Linked DNA regions of Canis lupus familiaris. Each later gene encodes a partner of the first gene's protein in a complex. Links are inferred from orthologs where the notes say so. Each region holds a gene or a part of one and is shown in the gene's direction. Other genes may lie near its edges.

Evidence for each region.
Region 2: the proteins of PINK1 (region 1) and TOMM5 are in contact, whole or in part, in a cryo-EM structure (PDB 9EII), measured with the Homo sapiens proteins. The link is inferred for Canis lupus familiaris from reciprocal best matches to the Homo sapiens genes PINK1 and TOMM5. Residues at the interface, in NP_115785.1 of Homo sapiens: Gln484, Ala488, Gln491, Ser495, Lys496, Pro498, Val502, Lys520, Leu522, Lys523, Leu524, Met527, Glu565, Cys568, Gln569, Ala571, Leu572, Leu573, Cys575, Ser576, Trp577, Ala579, Ala580; in NP_001001790.1 of Homo sapiens: Met1, Phe2, Arg3, Ile4, Gly6, Leu7, Ala8, Lys10, Leu11, Asp12, Pro13, Glu14, Met16, Lys17, Arg18.

What each region holds. Positions count from the first base shown.
Region 1 is NC_049223.1:77,685,200-77,688,757, reverse strand, and holds part of PINK1 (serine/threonine-protein kinase PINK1, mitochondrial), read left to right. Parts: intron 1-1,258; coding exon 1,259-1,540; intron 1,541-3,558. UniProt on the Homo sapiens protein: Serine/threonine-protein kinase which acts as a sensor of mitochondrial damage and protects against mitochondrial dysfunction during cellular stress.
Region 2 is NC_049232.1:54,231,864-54,235,999, reverse strand, and holds the start of TOMM5 (mitochondrial import receptor subunit TOM5 homolog), read left to right. Parts: upstream 1-1,283; 5' UTR 1,284-1,364; coding exon 1,365-1,485; intron 1,486-4,136.

The sequences.
Region 1 (3,558 bases):
AGGTTGACTTTATGAGCCAGTGAAGCCCCTTGGAAAAAATCAGCCTAGGACCTTACTTACAGGGTACCCAGCAGCCTTACTGGGTGAATAAAGAGGTCACTTCCTGGCAGGTGCGGGAACCTCAGGATATTTGGGGGACCTCATGAAGAGAGGAATTTATTCATATCTGCAATACCTGCAGGCAAAGTCTGATGGCAACTATTTGGCTTGGCTTCTTAGCCTTGAGGATCTATTAAAAGTTCAGTCTGAAATTCCTTATGAGAAGTTCCAGCAAAGCAGATTTTCTGTTTAAAAATAAAGCAAACCTTATATAGCCAGTCACTATTCTTGCAGCGCTTATGTAAATAATTAGGCCAAGATTGTTAGAACCGAAGTCTTGATTTGGCTATCCTTGGTGGAAATGAGGGTGATTTTAGAGAGAAAAATCACACATTTGTGAATAGTAGATTCACTGTCTTTGGGTGTTTGTTGTTTGCCTCTAAAACCGGGCTGGATCCTAAATTCTGGTTTCTTCCAGTATGTGGCTATGATTCTCCAAACTGTGGTTTCCAATTTTCTCCATTCCCTAAAACTGCTCTTTCTCCGGAAGCCTTGCAGACTGAAGCTAGACAATCTGAGGTAGCCTGCAGATATCTTAGAATTATTAGAGCTGCTTTGGAACCCAGGGAGGTAGCTGTTGTCCGCAGCCAAGGACACCAGAAATGGGGCTGCTTGATTGCCCAAAGGAACAATCAGATCAAGCTGCCAGGCTGGCAGCCCACACAAAGACTCCAAAACCCTTTGTAGTGGCTTTAGTAGCAGATGAGTCATAGACTAAACCAAACATCAATCCTAGTATTCCTCTGAAGACCTGAGGAGAGCTGCCATCCACAGCTCTCGAGAACCATCTAGTAGCTGCCTGCCAAGGCCCTTGCACAAAGAGCTGTCTCTGTAATCAGAAGCCTCCAAGGTTGTGCAGGGAGCTTGACAGGCGAGGTGTGCTGGCTGCAAAGTTTAGAAGTTTTGACCTATTAACCAATGCAGTGTTCTGTGTTCAGCTGTCTCTGATTTCAATGCAGGTACAGAGTTTGAGAAAAAATTATTCTGAATAAAGGGAGAGAAAGGAGGTAGGATCGCCTAAGCCCAGGATGAGCAGTAAAACCCAGTTTGGTTTGTGTTTTTATTAGCTCTTGAGCTTGTCAGTGAAGACCTTGCCTGGCTCTACCTCTCCCTCCCCCACTAGGCATCCTGCTCATTGTGCATATTTTCTTCCACACAGGCAATTTTCACCCAGAAAAACAAGCTGCTTCCTGACCCTTTGGACACTAGACGCTGGCAGGGCTTCCGGCTGGAGGAGTATCTGATAGGGCAGTCCATTGGCAAGGGTTGCAGTGCTGCTGTGTATGAAGCCACCATGCCTGTGTTGCCCCAGAACCGGGAGGTGGTGAAGAGCATCAGACCTCTTCCAGGCCGAGGCCCAGATGTCGATGCACGAGAAGAGGAGCCAGCTTCACAGGCCCCTACCTTTCCCTTAGCCATCAAGATGATGTGGAATATCTCGGTGAGGAGGGGGCCTTTCATCTTGGAATTAGGCATTTCTTAAAACACTAGGGGCACCTGGGGGCTCATTTGGTTAAGCATCTGCCTTCAGCTCAGGTTGTGATCTCGGGGTCCTGGGATGAAAACCCACATGAGCTCCCTGCTCAGCGGAGAGCCTGCTTCTCCCTCTGCTCCTCACCCCGCTCATGCTCTCTCTCTCTCAAATAAATAAATAAGATCTTTATTAAAAAAAAAAAAAAAAAAGCCCCTTGGGATGCCTGGGTGGCTCACCGGTTGAGCGTCTGCCTTCAGCTCAGGTCGTGGTCCTGGGATGAGTCCCACGTCGGGCTCCCTGCACGGAGCCTGCTTCTCCCTCTGCCTGTGTCTCTGCCTCTCTGTGTGTATCTCTCATGAATAAATAAAATCTTAAAAAAAAAAAAAAAGCCCCAATGTTGGTGGACCTGCTAGTGCTTTTTCCCAGGAGGCAGATGGGCTCTTGTATGGTTAGGCTTCCTCGCCCGCTCACACAGGAGTCTCAGGTCGTGATAGGCTGCCAGTCACCTGAGGATCTGGTTAAAAGGCGGATTCCAGTCCTCCGGCCTGGGGTGGGGGCTGGGTCTCTGCCTTTCTGATCAGCTCCCAGGCAATGCCTCTGCTTCTGGTCTGGTCCACACACATCACAGCAGGTTTCTCGTGTGGGTGCTGACCCACCTAGCTGGATTCAGGTGTGCGGTTCCCACCATCCTCCCTCTTTCTCCTGACCTGCCTCCCTGGAGAGGAGGGCCTGGAGAGGAGGGCCTCCTGTCCTCCAGACTCACTCTTCAAGCTCCCCTCCAGATGAAAGGCTTGCTTGTCATCTCCCAGCTTTCCCCTCTGGGAGGACTCAAGGCTTAGGGAAATTGAATATTTTTCTCCACAAAAACAAAGAGTTCGTCTAGAGTAATTTCTTTCCCTTCTCACTATGTAGGTGGGTTTATTATTTTTTTATTTTTTATTTTTATTTTATTTTTTTATTTTTTTAAAGTTTTTTTTTTATTTTTTAAAGATTTATTTATTTATTATGATAGAGAGAGAGAGGGGCAGAGACACAGGAGGAGGGAGAAGCAGGCTCCATGCTGGGAGCCTGACGTGGGACTCGATCCCAGGACTCGATCCCGGGACTCCAGGATCGCACCCTGGGCCAAAGGCAGGCGCCAAACCGCTGAGCCACCCAGGGATGCCCTGTAGGTGGGTTTAGAAAATTAAGACCAGATGTTCCTTCACCTGCCCAGAGCATCCGCCCAAGTCTAAGGTGGGGCACAGCCGTGGCAGCTCATGTTGGACGCTGAAGAATACAGTTTCTGGTTTTGATCTCGGGGATGAAGGTTATTGGACTGTTGCCCTTCCACGCTGGGTTACTAGCTACCAAGTAGCCAAGGCCTTTGCCTGTGAACCACCCAGTGTTAGCATCAAAACTTCCTGATGGGCGTGACAACTTTTACACTTGTGAAAGCTAAATGACTTGACTCCTAGAGGGTTCCTAATAGGTTCCATAGGACCTGAGAGCCATTTGTAATGAAACAAGGAAAGGAGGGTGCCTGTCCTCGTCTTTGGTTCTTGCTGTTGTTTCTTTTTACGGGGAGGCTGGGGAAGGTCATCCTGAGATTCAACACAACTTATCCAGGGTAGATTTGTCCTGCTTTGCCGTCTGCTGCAGGCAGCCTGCAAGGGGGAGTCTTAGTGACCCAGGGCCAGTAGCATCGATGGCAGGAAGAAAGGTCCCTCACCCTAACTTGCCATCTCTTCTTCCCTGGGCCCCTGAGCTGCCAAGTTTGAGGTGTGGTGTTGAAGCCCTGTAGGGGTTGGCACGGATAACATCTCCACCCCCTCTCTCCTAGGAGAGACTAGCTTGGCTTGCTGCTGCAGAGAGTTTTTTTTTTTTTTCCTTTTTAAAAGATTTTATTCATTATTTGAAAGAGCATGAGCTCTGAGGGGGAGGGGCAGTGAGAGAGGGAGAAGCAGGCTCCCCACCAAGCAGGGAGCCTGATGCGGGGCTCAATC
Region 2 (4,136 bases), on another chromosome or scaffold:
CTGGGATGGAGTCTCACATCCAGCTCCCCATAGGGAGCCCGCCTCTCCCTCTGCCTATGTCTCTGCCTCTCTCTCTCTCTCTCTCTCTCTCTGTCTTTCACAAATAAATGGATAAAATCTCAAAAAAAACCCATCACTACCCATCACTAGCAGAATGACTCTAAGCAGTGCACTTGGTTTCTCAGCTCCCCCTCCTCGTCTGTGAAATGTTGAAAGGACCTGAACTTGTTTTATATATACTGTATTACTGGGCCAATATGATAATCTATCAGGAACAATTAACACCAGAAATGAGAATATAACGATAATATGGAGTTAAAAACTTTTATGTCTGAGTCCTACAAACGTAAATATAAAACCCTACTGCAGGGGTGCCTAGCTGGCTCTGTCAGTATAGCATGGGACTTTTGATCTCAGGGTCCTGAGTTCAAGCCCCAGCTGGGGCATAGGGCTTACTTTAAATAAACAAACAAATTTCTATATATAATAAAATGAGGCTGACAATAACATTTTTAAAAACCTATTGCATTTACTAGCTGTGTAATGTAAAGCAAGTTTCATCATCTTCATCTTTTGTTTTAACTTCTCAGGAAATTTTTCAAACATGCTCAAAATAGACTAATTAAAATGCTATGTTAATCATTCTAATTGATTTTCAACATTTTTCTTTTTTTTTTTTAATTTTTATTTATTTATGATAGTCACACAGAGAGAGAAAGAGAGAGGCAGAGACATAGGCAGAGGGAGAAGCAGGCTCCATGCACCGGGAGCCTGACGTGGGATTCGATCCGGGGTCTCCAGGATCGCGCCCTGGGCCAAAGGCAGGCGCCAAACCGCTGCGCCACCCAGGGATCCCAATTTTCAACATTTTTCTAATATCCTTTCCTCTCCCTTCCTCAACACTCCCCCCCCCCCCCCCCGCCAAGGTATTTTAAAGTATATTTGGGCAAGTTGTTTTAAAGCTGTCTGTGCTTCAATTTTCTCACCCAGGAAATGGAGGTTTTGATACCTAACTCACGGCGTAGAACCGTAGCTATTATGAAGTACGGCGGTGTCTTCGGGCACCGCCCGCTCGGAGGTGTAAAAGCACTCTGCGGCGTACAGCGCCCGGCTCAGGACACAGGTTACTGCACAGCCCGGAGGACCCGGCGTCGCGCGTGACTGAGAGACTACGACCGCCCTCTTCAGGCAGCTCCCTGCAGAACCTCTCAGGCAGGAAGAGGATTGTCCCTCGCAGGCCCCCGTCGCCGCGCGCGAACACGAGGGGCGGGAACAGGAAATGGGGTGGGGCCGAGTTCCGGGCGCCCGGCAGCCTCTGAGGAGAGCAGAGCGTGGCCGCCGCAAGGCTGAGAAGCAGAGCCGTGATGTTCCGCATCGAGGGCCTTGCGCCGAAGCTGGACCCGGAGGAGATGAAACGGAAGATGCGCGAGGATGTGATCTCGTCCATACGGAACTTTCTTATCTACGTGGCCCTGCTGCGAGTCAGTGAGTGTCCTTCCCGGGCTGCGGCCGCGAGACCCGCGGGGAGCTCGCGGACTTGGCCCGCCCGACTCTGGTCCTGGGGTTCTGTGGCGGCCCGCGAGCTGAGCGGTCGCGGGGGGGGTAGGACATGTGTGTCGAGGAGAGCGGGCGCAGGCGCAGCTGGGGGTCTGCGGGTCGGGGTCCGGGTACAGAAGTGCCTGCGGCGGCTCGGGCTGCGAGGGTAGTCCCGCCTCGCCCTGCCTTAAGAGCGTTTGAATGGAAAGAGCCTCGAGGGTTACTACCTCCGCCTCGCAGCAGCTCCCGTTTTGCCGACAGAAACGGGGAGCTCGAATGGAGAAATGGCTGGCTCAAGGTCACTCAGAGATCCAGTGAACGATCTTGCTCTAGAATCCACAGTTCTTAATACCACGTTTCCTTCCTTCAGTGCTGACCTCTGAGATACAAAAAAAAATATTGCTTATTTGTACAGAGGGTGAGGTAAATAATTGCTTTTTTTCTTTCTTTCTTTTTTTTTTTTTGGAAGAAATGAGAAGGAAAGGGTATGAGTCTATATGGTTAATAATAATAATACCTGAAGGTTTATTTGAATTTACGTTTGGCCGAAGCATATTTTTGCGTTGTCTGGTCTTGACAGTAGTGCTTTGAGGGGAGACGAGGCTTAAGGTGCTGTATATCCCGCTTGCAAATGAGAACTCACCTTTCAGAGGGTCTTAACACAAAATGTCAGCGCTAAAGGCACACTAGATATTAGAGCTGGGTGCACCTCTGTAGGTCACGTCTCTAGCTTTGCTGATAGGAATCTCAGAAGTGATTTGCACCCCACCCCCCAATTCTCACTTCACCTTTCTTTTCATTGCACCTTGTTGTGTTTTGCGAATATGTCTGGTGGAGAGGCAGAAGTGATTCAAATAAATAAAGGCCATACCGAGGTCATCCTGTAGAAGGCTCCTGTTGGGCCTAGGCCAGAGCTCACTGAAGCTTGGTACCCCATCACTGACTATGGTATTACCTTGTTTCCCCAGGAGAGGGAGCCCTGCTGAACAGAAACCCAAATCTTCAGCTTTTTTTTTTTTTTTTTGCAACTCCCAACTTATTTTTCTCTTCTTACCTTTTTTGTTGACTTAGCTGCCAGTAAAACATTTGCTTCTTTTCAGTGACCTTTGTATCTGATATGAATTAGTTTTCTTAGAAAAAAAAATAGAGAATACTGTTTCACATTACCACTTTTTATTTTATTTTTTAAAATATTGGGGATCCCTGGGTGGCGCAGCGGTTTAGCGCCTGCCTTTGGCCCAGGGCGCGATCCTGGAGACCCGGGATCGAATCCCACGTCGGGCTCCCGTTGCATGGAGCCTGCTTCTCCCTCTGCCTATGTCTCTGCCTCTCTCTCTCTCTCTCTCTCTCTGTGTGTGTGTGACTATCATAAGTAAATAAAATTTAAAAAAATAAAATATTTTATTTATTTATTCATGAGAGACACACAGAGAGAGAGAGAGGCAGAGACACAGGCAGAGGGAGAAGCAGGCTCCATGCAGGGAGCATGACGTGGGACTTGATCCTGGGTTTCCAGGATCAAACCCTGGACTGAAGGCAGCGCTAAACTGCTGAGCCAACTTACCGCTTTTTAAAAGAAGATATAATGGGTATACAGTTGACCCATTTAAAGTGTGCAGTTCAACCTAAGGGTCTATCCATAAACGGACAAAGAAGATGTGGTGTGTATATACAGAGGAATATTACTTAGATATAAAAATCTTCCCATTTGCAACAACATGGATGGACCTATAGGCTATCATGCTGTGTAAAATAAGTCAGAGAAAGATAAATATCATATGATTCCACTTATATGTGGAATCTTCAGAAACAGACTGATAAACACAGACAACAGACTGGTGATTGCCAGTAGGGAGTAGAGTGGGAGATAGACAAAATAGGGGAAGGAGCTTAAAAGCTATAGACTTAAAGTTACAAAAAAACAAGTCACTGGTGTACGGTATAGAGATAACATAGACAATACTGTAGTAACTTTATGTGATAACTAGACTTATTGTGGGGATCATTTCATAATATATAAGAAATTGAATCACTGTGACATACACCTGAAACTAACAGGGTACTGTGTGTTGATTATATTTTATTTATTTATTTTTAGTTTTAGGGTTTTTTTATATTTTATTTAAAAAGAGAAAATTTTTGGATCCCTGCGTGGCTCAGCAGTTTAGCGCCTGCCTTTGGCCCAGGGCATGATCCTGGAGTCCCGGGATTGAGTCCCACATCAGGCTCCCTGCATGGACCCTGCTTCTCCCTCTGTGTCTCTGCCTCTCTCTCTCTCTCTCTCTCTCTCTCTCTCTCTTTCTCTGTCTCTCATGAATAAATAAAATCCTTTTAAAAGAAAGAAAGAAAGAGAAAGAAAGAAAGAAAGAAAGAAAGAAAGAAAGAAAGAAAGAAAGAAAGAAAGAAAGAAAGAATTTAAAAACAAAGGGTATAATTTAGTGGTTCTTAGCATAGTCAGGGTTGTGCAACCATCACCACAATCCATTTTAGAACATTTTCTTTACCTCTAAAGGGGATACCATGCCCATTAGCTGTCATTCCCCCATTTTCTCCCTTCCCTTTCCCTTGGCAACCACTAACCTGTTTTTTCTTTATGGATT